Linked DNA regions of Arabidopsis thaliana. The protein of the gene in region 1 interacts with the protein of each later gene in a pairwise test. Each region holds a gene or a part of one and is shown in the gene's direction. Other genes may lie near its edges.

What was found.
Region 2: the proteins of RAP2.4 (region 1) and MBD02 interact in a two-hybrid assay, tested with the Arabidopsis thaliana proteins (one large-scale study listed by BioGRID).
Region 3: the proteins of RAP2.4 (region 1) and AT5G18037 interact in a two-hybrid assay, tested with the Arabidopsis thaliana proteins (one large-scale study listed by BioGRID).
Region 4: the proteins of RAP2.4 (region 1) and AT4G09100 interact in a two-hybrid assay, tested with the Arabidopsis thaliana proteins (one large-scale study listed by BioGRID).

Annotation. Positions count from the first base shown.
Region 1 is NC_003070.9:29,362,486-29,366,738, forward strand, and holds RAP2.4 (uncharacterized protein), read left to right. Parts: upstream 1-1,586; 5' UTR 1,587-2,304; coding exon 2,305-3,309; 3' UTR 3,310-3,722; downstream 3,723-4,253.
Region 2 is NC_003076.8:13,522,885-13,527,370, reverse strand, and holds MBD02 (methyl-CPG-binding domain protein 02), read left to right. Parts: upstream 1-1,572; 5' UTR 1,573-1,750; exon of another isoform or gene 1,751-2,095; 5' UTR 2,096-2,100; coding exon 2,101-2,546; intron 2,547-2,651; coding exon 2,652-2,705; intron 2,706-3,123; coding exon 3,124-3,281; intron 3,282-3,485; coding exon 3,486-3,646; 3' UTR 3,647-3,968; downstream 3,969-4,486. Other genes in the region: AT5G35320 (DBH-like monooxygenase), read right to left, coding at 4,227-4,486. UniProt on the Arabidopsis thaliana protein: Probable transcriptional regulator.
Region 3 is NC_003076.8:5,970,561-5,973,393, reverse strand, and holds AT5G18037 (NAC (No Apical Meristem) domain transcriptional regulator superfamily protein), read left to right. Parts: upstream 1-1,827; 5' UTR 1,828-1,865; coding exon 1,866-2,081; 3' UTR 2,082-2,293; downstream 2,294-2,833. Other genes in the region: AT5G18040 (target of trans acting-siR480/255 protein), read right to left, coding at 1-172, 342-438.
Region 4 is NC_003075.7:5,809,137-5,812,382, forward strand, and holds AT4G09100 (RING/U-box superfamily protein), read left to right. Parts: upstream 1-1,978; 5' UTR 1,979-2,119; coding exon 2,120-2,518; 3' UTR 2,519-2,710; downstream 2,711-3,246.

The DNA of each region.
Region 1 (4,253 bases):
GAAAAAAATTCAGATATGATCAACCGGTGTATGAAAAATGTAAGATAGTAAAAGTCATATCATGTGAATAATAAGAAGTACAATGTTGAAGGCTATGGTAAAATAGTACAAAACAAGTGAAGGATATGGTGTGAAGATAGGTTTTAACGATTGGGAGAAATTACTTAACTTATTTCGTAGAAAAATGATTTGTCAAAAGAATGTGTTATTCTTAAAGAGTTTTGGTTAAACTTTCAAAAAAAAGAATGATGGGAATGGGATCACTCATAGTTTCTACTAATGGTAACAATTCTTGAACAAAAAAGAAGAATTTATTACAATTTTGGATGCTTTTAAGTTTTTGAACAGAAAATATAGGAAAAATAAATGAAACTAGAGCCTAAAAGTCAGCAAGTTTATGTAGTCATGATTATAACCATTAACCAATAAGAGTATGAGACCAATAAAAGAGAGATGATTAAAACACAGAACCTAGCTAAGCAATAACAAACAAACAAATAAGCAAAATGGTCTGTGAACTGTGAAGTGTGAACACGAACCGGATCGGTCAACAAAATCAGGTATGACTATTTACTCCACAAAGCACAAATAATATGAAGACACGTGTTTTTGAATTATGTATTCCTATTTGTATAATACACGCGTCATTCACTCATTAGCTGCATGTCATTTTTCTCATCCGCTCGCAGGTAGGAAAAATACAGTGTACCTCGCGCCGATTATATGAATTTATCAGCCTCATCATAATTCATAAATAATAAATAGACGAAATGAAACAATTCTGGAATAGAAATATGCTGATCTAAACAAAATGGATGATTATAAAAATATATAAACAATTTTAAGAAAATTTGGTGGATACTTTTCTTATTTTTGAAAAATTTCATGAAAAGAGAGAATGTAAAAATAGACTTGTTATCTTACAATTGTTTTCTACATTGCGCTACATAAAAAATTAAGAGTACATAATATATTTCGTTTGAACATTTATTCCTTTTATAAAATTATGTTAATGTAGTCATGTTTCTAAATTAAATTAACAAAATGTTAATGTAGATTAAATATCTTACTTTTTTTTGAAATTTCAATTAGTTTCCAAAATATAAATATTTCTATATATAGTATAAAATAATTCATAATCAAATCCTAATTGAAAAGAAGTAAAGATTATTTTAACAAAAAAGGGGTTTGACATTAGAGGGTAAAGACGATAACTTTAACGACAAGTTTTAGGTGGATTAAAAAAAGAAAAGTTAGGTTGTATCATTAAATATTCCATATGCATCATTTTAAGAGGTGTTTAAAATTTTAAACACAAATTTAAAGAAAAACACGATATTTTTATTTAATTTACTATTTTATATAAAACGCCAGAAAATAAAATAAATACAAGTATTCAACTAATAAAAACATATTATAAAATATGATTGGTCAGAAAAAAGTAAAGTGAAAGATCGCTAAAACATCACTTAAAGTAATTCTGAGGAAGTATTAGTATTTATGGTAATCATTTATCATTACATATTTTTTTTACTAACACAGTCTAATATTATTTTTTCTAACACTACTACAGTTTTATTTACTGTCAAAAAGTTTTTACCATCTTGTGTGTCATCAAACAAATCTACTCGCTTAGGTATTTTGAAATATAAAATTGCCTAAGAAACGGAAAATATCGTTGGAAAAAACCCGGAAAATATGAAAATAGTGTGAGGAGACTACACCCACTATATAAACAAGAGCCAAGCAGGTGAGGTTAGTTCATCGGTGAGGTTGAGAGTAATTCACTACACACACACAAAAAATAAATTGAGTGCCTCCCCCAAAAACAAAATTGGTAGATAACGAGCAATTGTTTTTTTTCAGATTTGATCCTGAATTTTTACATTTTTTTTTTTGCAATCTCCCCCTAATCTGTTGTTTCTCGCTTCTTCTTCTGTTAATCATCTGTCTTTCAAAAAGAAAGAAAAAAGAAAAATTCGATTTCTGGGTTTGTTTTTGTCATACAGAAAAAAATCAAGCTTATGAATTTGTGTTTAATTTTTTGTTTTAATTTGAAAGGCAGGTTTTTTCAGAACGAGATCGTTTTTTCAAATTTCTTCTGATTTTACCTCTTTTTTTCTTCTTAGATTTTAGTGAATCGAGGGTGAAATTTTTGATTCCCTCTTTTCGGATCTACACAGAGGTTGCTTATTTCAAACCTTTTAGATCCATTTTTTTTTAATTTTCTCGGAAAAATCCCTGTTTCTTTACTTTTTTATAAGTCTCAGGTTCAATTTTTTCGGATTCAAATTTTTATTTTAAATGGCAGCTGCTATGAATTTGTACACTTGTAGCAGATCGTTTCAAGACTCTGGTGGTGAACTCATGGACGCGCTTGTACCTTTTATCAAAAGCGTTTCCGATTCTCCTTCTTCTTCTTCTGCAGCGTCTGCGTCTGCGTTTCTTCACCCCTCTGCGTTTTCTCTCCCTCCTCTCCCCGGTTATTACCCGGATTCAACGTTCTTGACCCAACCGTTTTCATACGGGTCGGATCTTCAACAAACCGGGTCATTAATCGGACTCAACAACCTCTCTTCTTCTCAGATCCACCAGATCCAGTCTCAGATCCATCATCCTCTTCCTCCGACGCATCACAACAACAACAACTCTTTCTCGAATCTTCTCAGCCCAAAGCCGTTACTGATGAAGCAATCTGGAGTCGCTGGATCTTGTTTCGCTTACGGTTCAGGTGTTCCTTCGAAGCCGACGAAGCTTTACAGAGGTGTGAGGCAACGTCACTGGGGAAAATGGGTGGCTGAGATCCGTTTGCCGAGAAATCGGACTCGTCTCTGGCTTGGGACTTTTGACACGGCGGAGGAAGCTGCGTTGGCCTATGATAAGGCGGCGTACAAGCTGCGCGGCGATTTCGCCCGGCTTAACTTCCCTAACCTACGTCATAACGGATCTCACATCGGAGGCGATTTCGGTGAATATAAACCTCTTCACTCCTCAGTCGACGCTAAGCTTGAAGCTATTTGTAAAAGCATGGCGGAGACTCAGAAACAGGACAAATCGACGAAATCATCGAAGAAACGTGAGAAGAAGGTTTCGTCGCCAGATCTATCGGAGAAAGTGAAGGCGGAGGAGAATTCGGTTTCGATCGGTGGATCTCCACCGGTGACGGAGTTTGAAGAGTCCACCGCTGGATCTTCGCCGTTGTCGGACTTGACGTTCGCTGACCCGGAGGAGCCGCCGCAGTGGAACGAGACGTTCTCGTTGGAGAAGTATCCGTCGTACGAGATCGATTGGGATTCGATTCTAGCTTAGGGGCAAAATAGGAAATTCAGCCGCTTGCAATGGAGTTTTTGTGAAATTGCATGACTGGCCCAAGAGTAATTAATTAAATATGGATTAGTGTTAAATTTCGTATGTTAATATTTGTATTATGGTTTGTATTAGTCTCTCTGTGTCGGTCCAGCTTGCGGTTTTTTGTCAGGCTCGACCATGCCACAGTTTTCATTTTATGTAATCTTTTTTTCTTTTGTCTTATGTAATTTGTAGCTTCAGTTTCTTCATCTATAATGCAATTTTATTATGATTATGTAATTGACAAGGCCATAACATTTTGATTACGATAAACCATGATCATGTTTAAGAAGATGACTTAACAAATGTAATCTAAGAACTTGAAGATTGGATTTGTAGTTTGGTGAATGAAGAATAGTTAAATGTATCACCAAGTAGTTTTTTTTTTTTTTTTTTTTGACATATGAAACCAATTAACAAGTCTTCACCTACCTAAATTGGTATTATGATATTAACACCTTCTATTACAATTCTAATGAAGCACGTCTCTTTGAGAGTATCGTCGTCATATGTTTTAACGTTTTCGTAATCTGTCAATCCGTCTAAAGTTTTGATTCGTCGAGATAAAATCGGAAAGTCGATTTGATATTGATTGACAATTTATATTACCTCTAAATAAATCATGTTGTAGTCGGATTGATAGAAGAATCAAGTAGTATGTATAGTAACGTTCTAGTCATAATTTACATGTGGCAGAACGGGTTTGTTCCACTAAAAAATTGTTATGTTTTCAAAATGTTTATATATGTGGAATTTTCATCTATGAATGTTTGTAACGCATTTACATGATATTACTCATTTGCTAACACGTCAACAGTCAACTTGTTCTTCATGTTAACATTTGTTGGATCTTTCTCGCACGTTCTCAACTTTGTTGTATAAGAAATCATTATCAAACATATATA
Region 2 (4,486 bases), on another chromosome or scaffold:
GTTTACCCGAGTTTAAGAGAGTAGTATGGAAGCTAGACACGACACCAAAACTAAAGCACTTCATGTGGCGGATAGTAACTCAATCATTGGCGACAGGCGAGGCCTTGACACGACGACATATCATTTCAGATTCACAGTGTAAACGATGTTGTGCAGCTCCTGAAACATTAGAACGCCTATTCTTTGGATGCCATTATGTTCAAGCTATTTGGAGGGGCTCTCCGGTGTCACATACAGCGTTTTTCAATCCACACTTACCTTTTGAAGATAAATTCAGATTAATCCTTCAATGCTGTACTGATACGAGACAAGACCATATCACAAGACAAATACCTTTATGGATGTTGTGGCACATATGGAAGAGCAGGAATTTGTTAGTTTACCAGCGAAAAGGGAGTAATTGGCAAGATGATGTACAAAAAGCGATAACAGACTCATATGAGTGGATTCCTCTGCAGCGAGACACACAACGACGAAGTCTAAATGACAGAAGCGGGCAAGGGTAGCAAAAACCTATTCACGGCTTTATCAAATGCAATTATGACTGCAGTTTCTCAAGGAATGATCTAGCACCAAAGGCTGGTTGGATTTTACGAATTGACACAGGCAGTTATCTACTTGCGGCTCAAGGTACAAGACAACTATGCAACTCAGTGCTAGAAGCGGAACTACAGGCTCTCTTGATGGCAATGCAACATACATGGAGTAGAGGATATCGAAAGATTATATTTGAAGGTGATAATAGGACTGTGGAAAGCTTACTCAATGGGAACACAAGGAATTTTGAACTTCATAACCTCGTCATGGAGATACAACATTGGCGGAAGAAGTTTTCTACTGCCATTATCAAATGGTCTTTCCGGTCAACTAACAAAGCAGCTGATCGATTAGCTAAAGTGGAGTTAGAAAACATTGTTACTTTTGTCTCTCATTCTTATGTACCTCTGTTTCTTGTACAAATCCTCCATAGGATTACACATCATCCCTCTAATAAAGTATATCTGTTAATGTTAAAAAAAAATAAAAAAAAAAGAATCGGTTATTTTCGGGTTTTAAACTTAAAAACCAAAGAAACCAATATCCGAATCGAACCGAACCGTAATAAATTTCGGTTAGTTTCGGAAGAATTTTCAAAAATCCAAAATAACCGAAACCCGAAATAACCGACTCGGTTCGGTTCGGTTTACCCGAAGTCGCAGGCCTAATATTTTATATCAACAATTGACATATATTTTGACCCAAAAAAAAAAAATCAACAATTGACATATATTTGTTTTTATTAAAGTTTAATTTACATATTATGGAAGTCTCAAAATATTTGTTAAACAATGGCAAATATTTGTTAGACATATTTCATCTATTTAGCATGCACAACACGAATCCATATCTAATATTAGAAAGAATTATCCTTTGATTCTTTTTTTCTGAAGGAAATTTTGATTAATGGTAAGATTTGTTTATAAGCCCAAAAGCACAAATATTCTCCTACTTATAGCATGATATATTTTGAAGTGAATGTAAATTAAGAATTATTTTCGTAACAACAAATTTTATATTTATACAAAATAAATTAAATTCAGTTTCTTTCTCTCTTCTCTTTCTCGGTTTCCCCATTTTCTATCTAGACAAAGAGTGTTGTCTGAATTGGCTCTGTCTCAAAAAATGAAATTCTCAAATTAACCACAACGATCTTTAGAGCCTTCTTCGCTCACCGATCTCTGAAACCCTGGTTTGCTCTCGTCCTCTTCGTGTAACGATTCTTCTTCTTGATAAATTTTTAATCTTTGTTTCGGCTTTTCGATGAAATTGTTTTTTTTTTGGATCTCGTCTCTATCAGCTCATGTTCTTCTTTGATTATATGATAATTGTTGTTTCCTTTGCTCTGTTTTATGATTATTGTTGATTTTTGAGATTGAAATGTTCGAGGGTTTCTACTGTTCACTGTTCTTTACACGTATCAATGTTTTCTTGATCATGTTCTCTTATGATGTTAATAGAGAGACTAGTGTTATTGTGATGAATGATTCTTGTTAACTAAATTTGTCATTTTTGTTTTCACTTGACATTCATTTCTCTAACCATTTATTATAGGTAGTTTCTATGAGTATGTCGCAGTCTCGAGCTGTCCAAAGATCGTCTTCACCTAATGAGGATAGAGGTGAGAATCAGTTAGTGGTTTATGACTTGAAAGGAAATGATGATACTGAAGAAGAAGTTCTACCGGTTCAATCTCAGCCTTTGTCATCTAGAACACAGTGTCCCTCTATCGGGGCATTTACGGTTCAGTGTGCAAGTTGTTTCAAATGGAGACTCATGCCTTCAATGCAGAAGTATGAAGAGATTAGGGAACAGCTTCTTGAAAACCCGTTTTTCTGCGATACAGCGCGTGAGTGGAAGCCGGATATTTCTTGTGATGTTCCTGCTGATATCTATCAAGATGGAACTCGTCTTTGGGCTATTGATAAACCGAATATCTCTCGTCCACCCGCTGGCTGGCAACGTTTACTGCGGATTAGAGGTGAAGGAGGTACCAGATTTGCTGATGTGTATGTCGTTCGTTAACTCTTCTCTCATTTATGTTAATATTAGTCTTTCTTCTTTATACCATTGTATTGGCTTTCTTTATCATTCTTTTATCTTGGTTGTTTCAGTTATTATGTTGCTCCGTCTGGAAAGAAGCTTCGATCAACTGTGGAGGTCCAAAAGTTAGTTTCTCTACCACTCCATTTCCACATTTTCGTTTTCACATTTAACAAAGTGTTCCTTACTTTTATGTTTGATGAGGTCTCACTGTATCAGTCTTACCATTTTCGTCAACCAATATATTGAATCAGTAGGAACCTCAAGTATTGTTCTGTGGTCATAACTAGAGTTAGGCACTTATGCAAATTACAGAAATCCTTGCATGTGTTTTGTTTACTAACGAAAATGTACTATGCCAAGAAGTTAGTTAAACTATCATCCTTATTTCCATGATACTTCCCTGCAGCATTTGAGAGTGACAACAATGGTAGGAGAAAAAAGCTTAGTGACTTACCAATTCGTTTAGTGATTACCAAATTGTTTTCAGTGACGTATAGCTAGCTTCTTTACACCCTTATAACCACTATTACTGGTTTGCAGGTACTTGAATGACAACTCCGAATACATTGGAGAAGGGGTGAAACTTTCACAGTTCTCGTTTCAAATCCCGAAACCGCTGCAGGATGACTACGTGAGGAAGCGCCCAGCTCGACTACTGGATTCCATCGATAATACAAACACCCCTGTAGCTAAAGAAGGTGTGTTGCTTATCAAGGCACATAAATATAATTGTGGTTATCTTTTGTATCAAGGCTTTAGATTATTGATGTCATTTTTTCAGTCAAGAGTGTATTTGACGTATACTCGAACCGAACATTGGTGTCTTTAGGGAACTTTATTAACATGAAAACGTCTATGCTTTTACAAGTTTCTAACATTTCGCTTGTCTTGTTATTTTTCAGCTAATCCACTGGCATGGATATCTCCAGATGATCATATATCGTTGCAGCTAGGTACGCCAACCGAGTCTGGACTTAACAATTCACATTACCAACCATCGAAAAAGAAAAAAACATCGACGCTATCAATCTTTGGCTCCAACGACGAACTTGCTGATAGATAATCTAGCTAGACGAGAGTGAACTTATCTCGTCTTCTCTGGTATATAACCCGTCTTCTTTCTTCGTTTTTTGGGTTTGTCTTATCGAAGAAACTGAAAGCATGTGGTTAGCTTGTTTTTTGTGTATACCATCTATTTTGTTTTGCAGTGTAACATACTTTCTATGAAGAAGATGGGTCCTTTTGGTTTTTGCTTCCAAATAACTGGATTTTCATGCTGAAAGTTTTTAAACCTAAAGTTTGATTATTACCAAATTCCATTATCTCACAAATCCACTAGAGGACTGACACAAGAAAGCAGATAAGAATAGATCAGAGTCTGTTTAACTGTAGATGTGCATGTTAAGTTGGAACGTAGTTTATCTCAAAGGATATTTTAACGACATCCAAAAGATAACATTCGAAAGTCAAAACCATCCTAGGGGAGATATGGCTGAAGCTATTAGTTTGGTAAACATACAACAACAAAACTATGCCATATCTCTAATCTGCGCAAAAGGCAGAAACAAAAACTAACAACAAATCTGCCTTCTACTATCCTGCTTCGTGCATTCCCTATTCAGTTTTCCCGTGGTTAAGCCGTATCATCGGAACCAAGTGATGGGAGTGGGAGTAGTACTGACTTGAGGAAGCTGCGGAATCATACAGTTTTGCGCTTGCTGCCACGGATGCAAGCCAAAACCATAGGTGTGCTCTTGCTCTTGCTGCTGTCCTTGCTGAGGGAAAGATAGACTGGTGCTTCCAGTATCCTCTTCTATCTCATTGGATGCATCATCCATTACCACATCCTCACCTGTCTCATCCAACTCAGTAATCTCTAGTGTCCGCGGTTGTTGGAAGGTTC
Region 3 (2,833 bases), on another chromosome or scaffold:
TTGACAGTGAGTGGTTGCTCCCTCTCCCTGCACATCTTACCTCTTATTCCAGACATTTTCCACCATATACTGATGCAAGTTTTCGATAGTGAACTGAGAGCTTGGTTCATCCATTTCTCCCTGGTCGTCTTCCTTCCCAGCATTATCCACCAAATACTGAGCTGAGACGCATCTGCAAGACAAAAAAAAAATGAAAATGTTGTAGTCAATTCATATGACTCTTTCAAAGGATTAGACTATATTAAAAAGGGAGTAAACTACTATCAGCTAAAATCAATCACAGTATCTCTTAACGATGCGAATAAAGTAATGTTCTCTAGAACAAGATTTGATTCATTTACCGTAATCTTCTTGCTCACTACTTGCTTTTACGCAATCTGGATGACAGAGGCCACGCGTCTTTGCCATAGATTGCATGAATCGCTGAATCATATTCATCTTCGATTACTTATCCCTGGTTTCAAGTAGAATCCAGCAGAAGAACACATTCAGAAATCCAGTAGAGTCAAGCAGATAAGGCAAAAGGAAAAACAAAAACAAGACCTAACTAGCGAAAACCATAAACATGGTTTCAAGTTTTGACATAAACACAACCATTTCTAGTTGCAGAGGAAAAATCGTCGAACAAGAAGCTTTAGAGTAAACCAAAGTAACAATGATAGCTTCCATTAACAAAGAACAACTCTAACGTTAAAAAGGATTCAAATCATTCATCCAAAAAAAAAAGTTCAAACCCTAAAGTTTATCTCTGTTCACTAATAGCACTGAGAAAGGCCAAGTCACGGAGTAGAATCGGTAACAAATCCAAAACAAGCTAAAAGAATCCAACAGAGAGAGAAAATTGAGAGAAATTACCGGAGACACAGAGAGACGAGAATCAGAAGGAGAAGACATTCGCAATCGCCGTCGCGTCGAGAGAAACTCAGAGAATGTTCGCGAAACAAACTCTCACAGTCGTCGCGAAGATTTCCCCTCAGCTTTGTCCCGAAACGTGTCGCCTTTTTAAGACTTCAACTTTAGTCCTCAAGACGACGACGTTTGAAACTTTCCTTAAAACGTTGCCGTTTTTATGACATTGCCAATGTTTTTAAAAGTCTTTTTAACAACATCGTTTTTGCCTGTTTATTTAAGGGCAACAATTATAGTTTAACAACAATTTTCTTTTAGGCTCCAATGATGATGATCCAACATTTTGTTTTTCCGAGTTAGACATCGACTTATTCGTTGTAAATAGATTTTTTCTCTTTCTTCTTGAAAGAGTACTTGTTCTAAAAGTTTAGAGAGTGGATACCATTTTTTGTGCAACCGATCACGATCATGTCAATGCATTTTTTGGAGAGCAAGAAAATATTTGAGGCATAAGCTTCTTCAAGTACTAATACAAGTATCTCTCCATATCAGAAGAGCAAGAAATCTTCCAGTCTTTGAACATTATTTAGATAAGTAAAAGAATAATCTTGTTTTTTAGTTTGTAAAAAGATATAAGACAAAATAAGTTTAAAAAGAAAATAGTAGACAAAATATCATACGCTAAAACCAACATTACAAATTTGAAAAGAAAAAATGTGATATTGGCTTACTTATCTAATTTTAAGAATATTGGCTTTGAATTACATGGATATATTTCCTTTTTAAAGAATCGTTTTCCTAATATATTAAAAATCCTTAAAATCCACATATATATACGAAATCACCTTTTCTATTTGTCTACCTGAAAGTTTCAAGTCTTCAACGCGTTTATTATTGTTTTTCAGTTTTGCTCTAAAGATCATTTGTTGTTCCCCTTGGATTATTGCTATAATATATAGATCCTTAACTTTTTGTCTGATTTGCGTTTTCTTTGTCTCATAGAACAAGAAAAGAATATGTCGATGGTTAAGTACTACGATAAAGAGGAACATGTTGGGTTTTGGTTTCATCCTTCTGCCCAAGAACTCATCATCCGTTATATCGGGCCTAAGGTTACCAAAAGATCAAATAAAGAATTTGAATTAGAAGACAAGTTTGACATCTATGCCAAAGAGCCGTGGCGGTTGTCTCACACCGAGACTAACTTTTTGGAACCTAATGAATGGTTCTAGTTCGTGAAAGTGAATCATCTCTCTGAAAACGTTACTGGAAAACGCATCAGCCGCAAAGTCAAAGGAGAGACGGTTGATGGATGTTGGAAAGGCCATGGGAAGTTGAGTGATGTCGTGTTGGAAGATACCGGTGCAGTGATTGGGAAGAAGTCTAAGTTTCTACGTCAAAGGTGAGAGACAAGCCAGTGGTTGGACCATGACAGAATACTATCTCGAAAACGGTGGCTCATTATTCCATGTTCAAGTTCTCTGCCACCTTAAAGGACCATGATTATGTGTCTTGGTAAATTTTCAGTGAAGAGGATAATAACTTCTACTTCTATCTTATTTTACTTCAATTTTGTGTCTAGTTTGATATTTCCCTTTGCATAATTTATTTAAATTCCTCATAAAAACTTTAGGAAAATCTCGTATATTCTTGTTTATTTAAAGACATGTAGATCATTATTTTTATGAGGAGTTTGTAACTGCTCACCTTCTTGTTTTCACAAACGAAAAAATATTTTCTTGTTTTGAGGATCAAAGAGATTATCTCATCTAATATATGAGATATTAATAATGATCAGGCCCATCCATGCCTATGAAGGAAAAAGAGAAACTTTGGCCTACGAAATGGATAAGAAATTGGTTAAATTAATGGGAGATTTGCAAAACTATATTTTTTGACTACCTTTTTGCCATAATACTCTTTTATATTATTTATTTTTAAAAATATCTTTTTTCTTGAACAGAATGACCAAATTACCCTCATT
Region 4 (3,246 bases), on another chromosome or scaffold:
TTAAAGGAATCAACAAAACAAGGTATATATATATATATATATATATATATATTAAGATTCAGTGAGTATACTTGTTTTTATGATCGAGCTTTTGTGGAATAAGGATATGTAAATGTGGTCAGTTCAGAAGTGACTTACTTATTTTCTTAAAAAGATAAAATTTTCACAAATAGCATCATTTCAAGTTTTTTGGACAAAAATATCACTCAAATAAATATTTTATTTTTAATTATTAAAATTTATAAATAAGAAAATTCAAAAAATAAATAAATTTCAGACAATATTTCCCCCCAAAAATTTCCATCAAAATTATTTCCACCAAAAACTTTTATAAACAAATTTTCCCGAAAAAAAAAAAAGAAATTCACGAAAGATTTTATAAAATTCATGAAGGATTTAAGAAATTCATGAAGGGTTTCAAGAAATTCAGAATTAAACTTTTTTTTTTTTGTAACCCTTCCTTAATTTCATGATAATTTTTCATGAATTTTGTAAAATCTTTTCTGAATTTTGTGGAAACTTTCAAGGAAATTTAGGAAGACTTCTACAAAACTAAGGAAGGGTTTCACGAAAGATTTTTTTTTGTGAAATCCTTCTTGAATTTTGTAAAATCTTTCTTGAATTTCGTGAAATTTTTTCCAGTTTTCGTAGAATCCTTCCTAAATTTTCTTATGTGGAAAAAATTTGACGGAATGTTTTGACAAAAATTGTTTTTGGCGGGAAAGTTTTTACGGAATTTTTTTTGGCGGGAAAATTTGACAAAAAAAAATTCACGGAAAAATTTGAAAGATTTTTTTTTCACGGAAAACTTTGACTGATAATTTTTTTAATTAGGTGCTATTTTAGGAAGAAAATGTTTTGAGTGCTATTTGTAGATATTTTCAAATGAGGTGCTATTTTTGGAAGAAAATGTTTTGAGTGCTATTTGTAGATATTTTCAAATGAGGTGCTATTTTTGGAAGAAATTTTGTGTGCTAATTGTGTCAATCTTTTTTTTTTTGTTAACCGATATTAATTAGAGCTCAACAAAGTCAATTCACGTAAAATGTTGTTTACATATGTGATATATTGTGGTTCAATATAATTTTTTTTGTGCAAAATTATCCGTATTTATATTTGCACTATGAAATATTAAAGGTAAATAAAAACTTATGAATTCTTCTTTATTAATTCCTTCAAATATACTGAGAATAATAATTCTTGTAAACTAGAGAAATTTTAACATTAACCTATTTTTCTATTTTCTTTGGGAGTTTCCTATTAAGGTAACTTTAAGAATAGAAACTAGTTATGTATTTAAAACGATACAAACTAGGATATCTAAATTGTATTAAAAAGATTGTACATTCAAAATTTGTATACGAGATCTTCAAATTTTGTATATAAACATCGAATTATATAAAATATTTTTAATAACTAAAAAAAAATATTTGTATCTTTGGCGGTCAACTAAACCTTTTTTTATAGCATATATATATGATATATAAAGTTTCTTTATGATATAATTATCTATCTAACATTTAAGATTGTATTAAAGTTTCGAATTTTATGTCTACGTAATTTTGTTTCCTTTCATTTTATACACAATGTTGTATTGTTTGTACATGAATTCTTTTCAAAATAATTTTTTAGATATCATTCATATAAAATAGAGCTAATGAGATAATAAATTACCTTGAAGGCTTGAACATTGTCGAGACAAAAGTTGAAAACAGAAGGACAAAAGATCACTGTCAAATAATTATTAATACATCAGAAAAATAATTAAAAACGATAATATTGTTTTCAGTATTCACCTACACATAATATGAATATCATGTTTACATATTTCGACCTTTTTTGATCGGTTCTAATAATCTATATCTCAAAACTAACCAATCTCATCTAGATTCCGTCAAATTAAGTTTAGTCTATAATTACGAAACTAAAAAATATTAGCAAATGGGAAAGTGCTAGAGTCATTGCACTAGTTTATTATGTGAAACACGAAGAAACACGGTGGCGCGTAGAAATCACCTAGAAACTACGAAGAAGACGTGAACCCCACGTCTCTCTTTCTTCTTCTTCTTTCTCTATCTCTTCCCATTACAAAACTCAAGAAGATGTTAAAGTACGAAACATGTCATACTTCAAAAGAAACGAAGGAACAATTGTGTTTGCGTTTGCGAGCATCGGGTTCATAGCGTTTTATATCATTAATTACTACATTCGGCGATGCAGAAACCGTGCCGCAGCAGCCGGGGACATTGAGGAAGCTCGAATGAGTCCGAGGAGGCCACCGCGAGGACTTGACGCTGAAGCCATCAAGTCGTTTCCTTCATTCGTTTACACGGAAGCTAGAGGAATTGAGCCAGGAATAGGCGAGCTAGAATGTGTTGTGTGTTTGAATGAATTCAAAGACGATGAAACGCTGCGTTTGGTACCACCTTGTGTACATGTGTTTCATGCTGACTGTGTAGACATCTGGCTTTCTCATAGCTCCACATGTCCTATCTGTCGTGCTAAAGTAGTTCCTTAATACGAGTCTCTTAATTAGCCTTTTACTATGCATTTTGCGTTACATAGTTCTCCCTTTGTAAATAAATTATCTTTATAGTGTTGATATTTTACCAACCGTAATGATGATACTACTCCATGGAAGGAAATAATCTACAAAGGAATTGAGGCATATTGAATTATTCAATGTCATGATGATGATGATGAATTAGACTAGAAAATGACAAAAACATAGTTTATCTCTTTGGTTACTTGTTCATGTATTACACACTAAACACATCTATTTGGCTTTGGAGAGGGACCACCTATCATGCTGTGTACAACAAATATGTATATATGTAAGTTACAAGTTAATGAAACGTTCGGATATATAGTTATATACCATACTTTGAAGGCTTTAATTAGTTACTCATATGATGTAAACATTTGTTATGGTGCGAATAATCTAGCACCAAATACATAAACCTTATTGGTCCGTCACATTCCATTGAGAGGACGTGAACATCAGAGGGATGTGACTGACCAATAAGGATTAGGTCAAAACTGTTGGAAAAGTCTTGTTGCGTAGATCAACAAGTTAATAGAGAGGGCATGAGTAATGTAGTACTTGTTCTACGTCTATAGTGACGTAAAGACTTCTTCAAAAGTCAAAACGTTAGAGGAAGAAGCCAAATCAATCATTCCGACCAAAACTAATCTAACTAAACATAGTAGTAATACAATATGTATTGTCGTGACGAGTACAAACCA